2 linked regions of the Oryzias latipes genome follow. The protein of the gene in region 1 purifies or fractionates together with the protein of each later gene. This does not show direct contact. Links are inferred from orthologs where the notes say so. Each region holds a gene or a part of one and is shown on either strand. Other genes may lie near its edges. The genes, in order: strap and csde1.

Region 1 (4,351 bases):
ACTGAGAACGGAAGGAATTCGGACTCTCCTAGCATCCGGGAGGGACCGTCCAGGGCGCCGGCAGCGCCGGCAGGACCCACGTTCAGAGAAGAACTGACCGGATGGTTTTGTCGTCGGCTGCAGAGAGGATTTGCTTGTCGTCGTTGCACCACAGAGCCTTCTTGATGGCTGCGCCGTGACCTGCGATCTCCTGTGGGGCTGATGAACACAGGGAGGGGGGAGGGGGGGTCACATGATGCCGTGTTTAGCAGAAGTACCTTCAAACTGCATCTCACCTGCGTCGGTGTTGCTGAGGTCGAAAATGCGCAGCAGCTTGTCGTTTCCCGCCGTCAGAAGGTGGTTGCTGTCCTAACAGACACAAGCACAGATTTACTGTCCTCCATCTGGCTTGATGAATGTTCACCAGGAGCTTTATCTGTCTCATGTTTGTAAAATCAAAGCAGCAGGAACACGGAGCACTTTGTGACTACAATCATTGTATAGATGGTGTCCCAGCGTTAAGCACTTCCTCTTTACGGTTCAGTTTGCTGTGATGTTTGATGAGCTAAAGTTGTTACGTTTGGCCCACTATTACAGTTTGGTGCCACTCCAATCATCTTGTGATTTATTTTCAAAGTGTTCTAATGATGATGATGATGCGGTTTTTGGTCATTTTCCAGGACATAGTTTCTGCAGGGCGGCAGGACTTCATCAGAAATGAGCCTCTTGGTTGTGGTGTGGAGTAAGCCGTCCAGTCCTGATCCAGATTCCAGCTCAGACCAGGAACACAAAGACGTTCATGGATCTATTTGTCTGCAGGTGGATGATCAGAATGGAGCAGAGCAGGAAGCTTTAGACTCCCCAGCCTATTTCCTACGTCACATATATGACATTTTTGTGTCTGCTCCTGATTTGAAAAATTAAACATCAGAAATGTTATTTTGAGCTTAATTTTCTGTCTATATGTTCTCCGTCGTGAGAAAAATTACCACCATTTTAACAGGACGGGGTCTTTAACCCACATCGGTTCTACCAAAACCCGCATACGCAGACACGGACAAAGAAAGCAGAGACGCCTGGCGCCACACTGACCTGAGTGAAGTTCACAGACTTGACGATGTGTTTGTGCGCCAGAGACAGGACCTCGTCTCCGCTGACCGAGTCCCACACCTTCCTGCAGAAAACAGACACGGTCAGAAGCGTGTGACAGGGGAACATAGAGGGACGGTCAGTGTTGGGGGGCAACGGATTACAAAGCAGCAACATGACCCCACCCTTACATCGACGTGTTCTCCCTACGATGACAAAGGTGGAAAGATTTCATGTAATCCATGGACACCAGTGAAGATCACAAATCATTGAAGAAAAAAGGTTCAGAGCACTGTCTAGTGGGTCTAGATGACCCAACTTCCAGGGCTAACGTGCCTCCAAGGCACACTGGAAAATCAAGCTAGTTTTCAGGGTAGAACAAAGTCAGGGTGCCTGAAAATAAAAAGCAACTCTACTGTCAGGAGTTTCTTTTCTACTGGAAAGACGTTTAGACTCCCAGAAAAAAAATAAGCCAACTTCTTAAAAAAAAATCCACAGAAACTAGTTATCTTGGAGAAAAAGAAACCGCTTCTTTCCTAGATAAAACCCTGATTCCAGGGGAGGGGGGGAAAACAAAAGCTTTTTTCCTAGGTAAGAAGCCAGTGAAATAAAAAGTTTCCTGGAAAAAAAGGCTCATTTTCTGGGGGAAATTCTTCATTTCCAGCAGGTAGAACAGTGCATTTCCTGGAGGAAAGTAGTTTGTTTCCTACTATTAAAACAACTTTCCTGGAGGAAAAGGCTGCTTTCCCAGTAGGAAAGAAGCGTGTTTTTCCTTGGGAAAACAGGCAGTTTCCCAAATCTACTCACGCTGTGAAGTCGGCGGCGGCGGTGGCGGCTTTGGTGGCGTCCATGTTCAGAGTGGCCCCCCAAACAGCACCTTTGTGACCAAGAAACGTTCCGATCCAGTCTCCTGTGTCTCCTTGGCGCAACATGGGCTTGCCATCTTTAACAGAAGGGATTGGATCAGAACCAGAGGCGGGTAGTTACATTTACTCAGTTACTTTTTTTTTGCCAAAGTAACTGTTGGGCTTGAACCAAGTCCTGAGTTTTGTTACATAATCATTAATTACTAGCTTTTCCTAGAGTTTGATGAGGAATCCCTGAGGAGCCTTACTTGATACTCTCGTTACTTTCATGGATTACAGTTACCAGTAAGACCCACAACTTCCCTACAGACAGAGTTCTGCTCAGAAATCAGACCATTCATCAGAACCGGATCCGCCAGGTCTGTTCTACGAGTTTTCTAGGATCGTTTTAAGTCAGAACCGACACACGACCAGATCGGGTTCTGCCTGCACAGACAGAGGGGCTCGCTAACGGCCGAGCCACCGGAACCCCGCGCCGGCTAACGGCCTGCTGGAGCTCACCCTTGCAGGCGCTGATGAGGAAGTATCCGAAAGGCGTGATTCCGCTGAAAGCCAGGTCCACCACGGGTCGGGTGTGACCCGAACAGGTGAGGGGGGTCTGCCTCATGGCCATGGTTGGTGGTCTTCAGCCGCCGCCGGAACCGTCGCGCTCGCGGAAGGAGGCGGCGAACAAACGGGGCCCGCTAACGAACCGGGAGCGGAGGAGCGGCTGTCGGGTAACGGGGAGCAGTCGAGCGGGTGCGGGTGTGAGGAGCGGGGGTCGGTGTCCTTCAGGGTTTGGCCCCCCCAGAGAAGAAACGGCCTCGCGCTAATAGCTACAACATTGCAACTAACTAGCAACGTGCGTAACTGCAGTTACGATGACGACACAAAACCGCGAGACACGACACACTTCCGGGGAATTTCACAATAAAATCCGTCTGTCAGGTGTTTTCGTTTTTTTTTTATGAAAGTAACGGAGAAAAACGTTGTTTTTTGTTTTTTTTATTGAATTTTATAAAGAAAATGTTACAATAGATGGTTCATTTCTAAGAATTACTCAATTTTCTAACAGGGAAGCTCTTTTTTATTAGCAGGACATTACGTACATTAAACTAACTAACTAACTAACTAACTAACTAACTAACTAACTAACTAACTAACTAACTAACTAACTAACTAACTAACTAACTAACTAACTAACTAACTAACTAACTAACTAACTAACTAAATAATAATAATAATAAAAAAAAACTAATTCAGTTGTTTTAAATGTCAAATAATTATATGGAATTATTAAGCACCCAGAGACTCAAACGTTTAAGAGTCTGTTATATAATGTAGGGATTTTATATATCTGCATTAATGAATATAGTTTTACTGCTGCAAACCAGTACCTATACTGTAATTTATTGATATTGTTTACAGGAAAAGTTTCGCTTACAGTTGTTCTCAATTGCTAAAACACTAAACCCTATTATTGTCTGAACCAAATGCCCAGTTGCCTGAACCCACTGATTGCATCGAACGTTCCTTTGGCCGAACCATAAGTACTTCTCACCTGTTTAGACACGACTTGGCAACACATTTTCATTGTGATACACCCGTGCTGCATAAAGGTGTGCACAGGTGACAAAAGTCAAACACAAAGAAAGCACAGGTGTCCCCACTTGAACACAACAACTCAAAACTGATCACACTTGTGGGAGAACATATAAAGTAAGCCAGTTCAGAGAGCACTGGTTTGTGAGGCCCTACAATGGACAGAAATCTGAGAGGAAGAGTTCATGGTGGTTGAGGTGGTCAGCAAAGACAAAGAACAGTAACATCTCATGAAATCAGAGCTACTGGGATCGACAAAGTGCTTGTCCATGGGATTAGCATGAGGGAGGCTGGACAACAGGTACAACCAAACGCCAGTAGATTCACTGTGTCCACCATGATCCGAAGATTTAGGGTAAAGAACAGGTAAAATGCCTTTTATTGGCATTATAAGTAAATGTTGCCAGAAATTACTGTACCACTGAACTAATGCACTGTAATATTGTAATATTGTAGTGGAGGGTTGGTATAACAGTTTGTAGGCCTAGAATACCGTGTATTCTTTTTGTAACTACACAAGTCACAAACGCTCGTTTGTTTTTACAAGTGCTATGTGTAAATGCTCAAGATTTTTTTTTCTATTTTTGTACAAGTTTTCTGCAACATGCATTGAGCCTACAGTCAACAATAAACTTTTATTTCTCCAGCTTCATGTCCTGAGCATTGTGTTTTCTATTTTTCCATGTAGTGTTTAGTGATAGTTCAATGTTGCTTTTAATTTTGACTGACTCGGGGCACGATTTCACAGCAAAGTTTAATTTTGAGCAGAGATTGAACTGTTTTGAGGTGAAAATTTTGGTTTTGCAAAAAGAGTTTGACGTTTTGTGACTGTGGCT
Region 2 (3,812 bases), on another chromosome or scaffold:
GTTGTTTTAAATAAAAGCAAACAACTCATTTTCATAAAACCTTTATTCAATTGTTTCATTCAAGACCATAAATGAAAAAAACAAAAAAAAGACACAAGAACCTCTGAACGTCATCCAACCAAAACCCCATGAAGTCCAGAGGAAGGAGTTTCTGCTGTAGGTCATCGTGCAGAGGAACATCATCTCTCTAGAGCAAAAACTAATATCCTAATTTCAAAAGCTGATCTTTTTTTTTTTTACTTTTTTCCGTTAAATTAAATTTATTATATTTGATCTTTTTATTAGAAAGAAAACAAAAAAAAAAAGCACACATTACATACAGTATAGATGAACCCACATTTCTGGGATGCATATAGCAATATTTCTACTGGGGGGGGCCACCTTAAGATTGTTCTGAATATGTTGGTGGTGTGCTAGGAACAGAGGAGACATCTTACTTTTATTTTGATTTTTATTTAACTTTGCTATTAATAGGCACCTTATTTGTAACGTTCAATATAGCAGACTGAGTTTCCGAAAAAAACAAAAAAAAAAAGATGTGCAGAAATGAAAAAGAGTATAAAAGAATCGCAAATATAAGATGCAACGAGGAATTCTGCACCTGAAAGAGAAAAAACCGCTAAGGGACGGGGAGGGGAGGGGGGCACGTCAGCATCAAGTATAGCAACTACTTTGACACCCCCCCCAGACATAACTCCATGCTTTTACTTCAGCTCTTCAGTCAAGCATTTAAAACTGCTCAAAAAAGCGAGCAGAGGAGAGTCCCGGCGTCCCGACGGAGCCGACGCCCATCTACGCATTGTGTAGGAAAGCTCCAGTTTGATCAAATACTTGAGGTTTCCGTGAGTGAAACAGCATGAAGGACATTAATGGAGCGGGGTGGGGGGGTCCACGGACCGATTACAGGTGCAGAATTCCAGACAGAGCCTGGTCGAGAGGTCAAGACACGGAAAGCCAGTCGTCACGCCAATTTGGAAAAAGACAAACTGAAACAAATCCCTCAGCCACACACACTTAACCTCTGGGGAACATGACACACACACACACACACAGACGCACACTCTCAGGAACCCACGGAGGCTGCAGTGGGGTACTACCGATTCAATCATGGGTGGGAGGTAGGGAACGGTGGAGGAGCGAGACGAGTTCCCTCACAGGGATGCATAATGGCCAAACGGACACGCCAACGGCTGCATGTGTGCGCACGTTTGTGGGTTAGCTGATGTGCAAGCATCAAATCAAATTCCAGTTTGTGCTGCTGGAGCCTGCGAGGACAGCGGCCAAGCACAGACGCAGCGGGAGCCTCCGCTCAGTCGATCACCCCCGGCTGGCGGGTTTTGCGTTCCACGCTGAAGCCCTGAGGGAGAAGAGGGAGAAGATGTCAGATCCTGGAGGCTATGTCTGAGCGTCTTTGCACCTTCAAGCTCAACTCTTGGGTCCATCGCTCGACCATAAATACAGACGAGTGCTGGCGTCAAGGTACGGCTAAGCCGGACACGAATTCCTCCTCCCACTGAACATTTGTCCAAAAGTCTGTTCATAGACCTGCCGCTCCTGCCGTGTGTTACCGGTTCAGAACTAAGAATCTTTAAGTACCAATGATCTACTGACCAAGCTGATTTATTTTAAAGAGCGCTACAACAACATCGAAAATCCCGCCTCCATGTTCGGGTTCATGGCATCGTTCAGGGACTCTGCCGGTACGGTGAGCTTCACCGTCTGCGTACCAGACCCGTTCAGCGCTACTTCCACCTCTGTCCCAGTTTGACGAGTCGTCCCGCGTCAGTGGAGGAGGGGAAAAAATAAAAATATATTCAGGAGAACGATCAGATTCTCCTCTGTGTTGTTTTTAGACTCCACCCACTAATCGCATCATCAACGCGTCACAGGCCAAAGCCGAGTTCCTGATTGGTTGATGTGATTTGAATAATTCACCAAAGTTAAGGTATTTGAAATCTGGAAACATGCCCCAAAAACACGCCGTGACTGGAGAATTCCTCCACAGCTGACGCCCAACGTGACGCAGGAAACGAGAAACTGGACGCCTCCGCCGCGCGACGGGAACGCAGCGTCAGAGGTCGCTTACCTTTGAACTGTCCGGACCACGAGGCTGTCTCAGGATGACCAGACGAGGAGCGCTGGCGTCATCAAGAGTGATGCTCTTCAGCCGGTTCACCAGGCGGTCTGGACGCGGCGTCGCCACCGGCTTAGCCCCCTCGCTAAAAAAGAACGGGCGTGAGGAAAGTTGTACAAGACGAGCTGGAAACCCCAGCTGTAACCCCGGTGGTCATTCCCGCCCTCACCTGACTCGGCGCACGTTGCACGCGCTGCACTTTCCCGTGCGTTGGTTCAGAACCACGGAGAACTCCACCTCGTCGCCCGTCTGGAGCTCCAGGCCGTCCAGCACCTCTTTGACGTGGAAGAACAGCTTTTTGCTGTCGCCCACCTCGTACGTAATGAATCCAAACTGCAGGAGGGGAAACGAGCCCACGGCTTAAACCTGCGGCGCCGGCGGCAACGGCTTAGCCAGAGAAATCAAGCATACCTGGTCCTTGACACACTCCACCACAGCCCGGCGCTGGGGAACCACATTACACGCCATCTTCTGGCCAGTTTGGGAAACCGTGCAAACCTGGAACTTTACAAATTCTCCCTTCTGCAAACAGTCTCCCTTGTTTGCCATTCCCATAATTCCAAAGGGGTAAGACGGTCCTTTTCCTCCAGCTGGGCAAAACAAAATAAAAACAAAAAATAATAAAAAGAGTGAAAAGGAGGAAGTTGGAATGACAGAAGCTGCTCTAGCAACACCGACCGTCATCTATGACTTCGATGAGGCCTTGATATTCGGCCTGGGAGGGGTCCACGCTGCGGATGGGACGGATCACTTTTCCTGTCAGAATTGTTGTCCCAACATCCTCGCCCGTCCCGTTCACTAAAAAATAAGAGAGAACTTTCATTGAGTGATCAGAACCTTTTAAATGGATGTTATGAATGAATGAAACCTTCAGGTACCTGCAGCCACTTTGGTGACCTTTTCAGCACTGACTTTGTTTCCTTTTCCCTTTGACAGACTGTACTCCACAGTGTCGCCCAGATCCAGATTATCCAGATCTCCACACATTTCACTGAGGATTAAACACATCTGGGTGTAAAAGATCTTTGCAGGTGGCGTTCACCGATTTAGTCCTACAGAGCAGCGGCCCTCAGCCTTTTCAGGCCACAAGCCAAAGTGGATCTTTAATTTATTATGCGCTTCCGGAAAATCGATTTTTCAAATTATAGCGCTTCTATGTGACACTTTGCTTATAGAGCAAAGTCTGTAGACGTCTTATAGATGATGGAGATTCACTGAAAGTTGTTTCTGATTTGTAAGACTTCATTAAAAAGACAGACAGTTGTTTTAAAGAAAGCTATTTCCACACCAAAAACTTATTTTTCATGGCAAAAATGAATCATTTGTTTTGTTTGATAAATGCTGTTTGATTAAACATTTCTTTTCAAAACAAAGGGAGTATTTTCTGTGCTTAAGTTTCCTCACAAGTGTTAGTCTTTAGTTTTGACAAGTTTCCACAAATCAGCAACTTTATTTTATTTAATCTTCTTTCTCTGTAAAAGATTTGCAGCCAATTTAAACCCAAACTATATGCAAGAACCATTAAAAGGCAATTTAGCTTTCCCCTTAAATGTCTAAGTTGTCACCTTTTAATAAATAAAGGTGACATAAAACATTACATTTTTCTAAATACAATATTCAACAGTGAATGAAACTTATTAGCATACGTGTAACATTAGAGAGTCAGTTGCTGCATTTT

Evidence for each region.
Region 2: the proteins of strap (region 1) and csde1 purify together in Homo sapiens (affinity purification with mass spectrometry; 3 studies listed by BioGRID and IntAct, counting the BioPlex papers as one, with this or other methods). This does not show direct contact. The link is inferred for Oryzias latipes from reciprocal best matches to the Homo sapiens genes STRAP and CSDE1.

Annotation. Positions count from the first base shown.
Region 1 is NC_019881.2:4,535,864-4,540,214, reverse strand, and holds the start of strap (serine-threonine kinase receptor-associated protein), read right to left. Parts: upstream 2,826-4,351; 5' UTR 2,548-2,825; coding exon 2,436-2,547; intron 2,012-2,435; coding exon 1,876-2,011; intron 1,154-1,875; coding exon 1,072-1,153; intron 349-1,071; coding exon 276-348; intron 199-275; coding exon 99-198; intron 1-98. UniProt on the Homo sapiens protein: The SMN complex catalyzes the assembly of small nuclear ribonucleoproteins (snRNPs), the building blocks of the spliceosome, and thereby plays an important role in the splicing of cellular pre-mRNAs.
Region 2 is NC_019865.2:1,564,068-1,567,879, forward strand, and holds the end of csde1 (cold shock domain-containing protein E1), read right to left. Parts: intron 3,126-3,812; coding exon 3,013-3,125; intron 2,933-3,012; coding exon 2,813-2,932; intron 2,725-2,812; coding exon 2,546-2,724; intron 2,468-2,545; coding exon 2,304-2,467; intron 2,220-2,303; coding exon 2,087-2,219; intron 1,358-2,086; coding exon 1,310-1,357; 3' UTR 26-1,309; downstream 1-25. UniProt on the Homo sapiens protein: RNA-binding protein involved in translationally coupled mRNA turnover.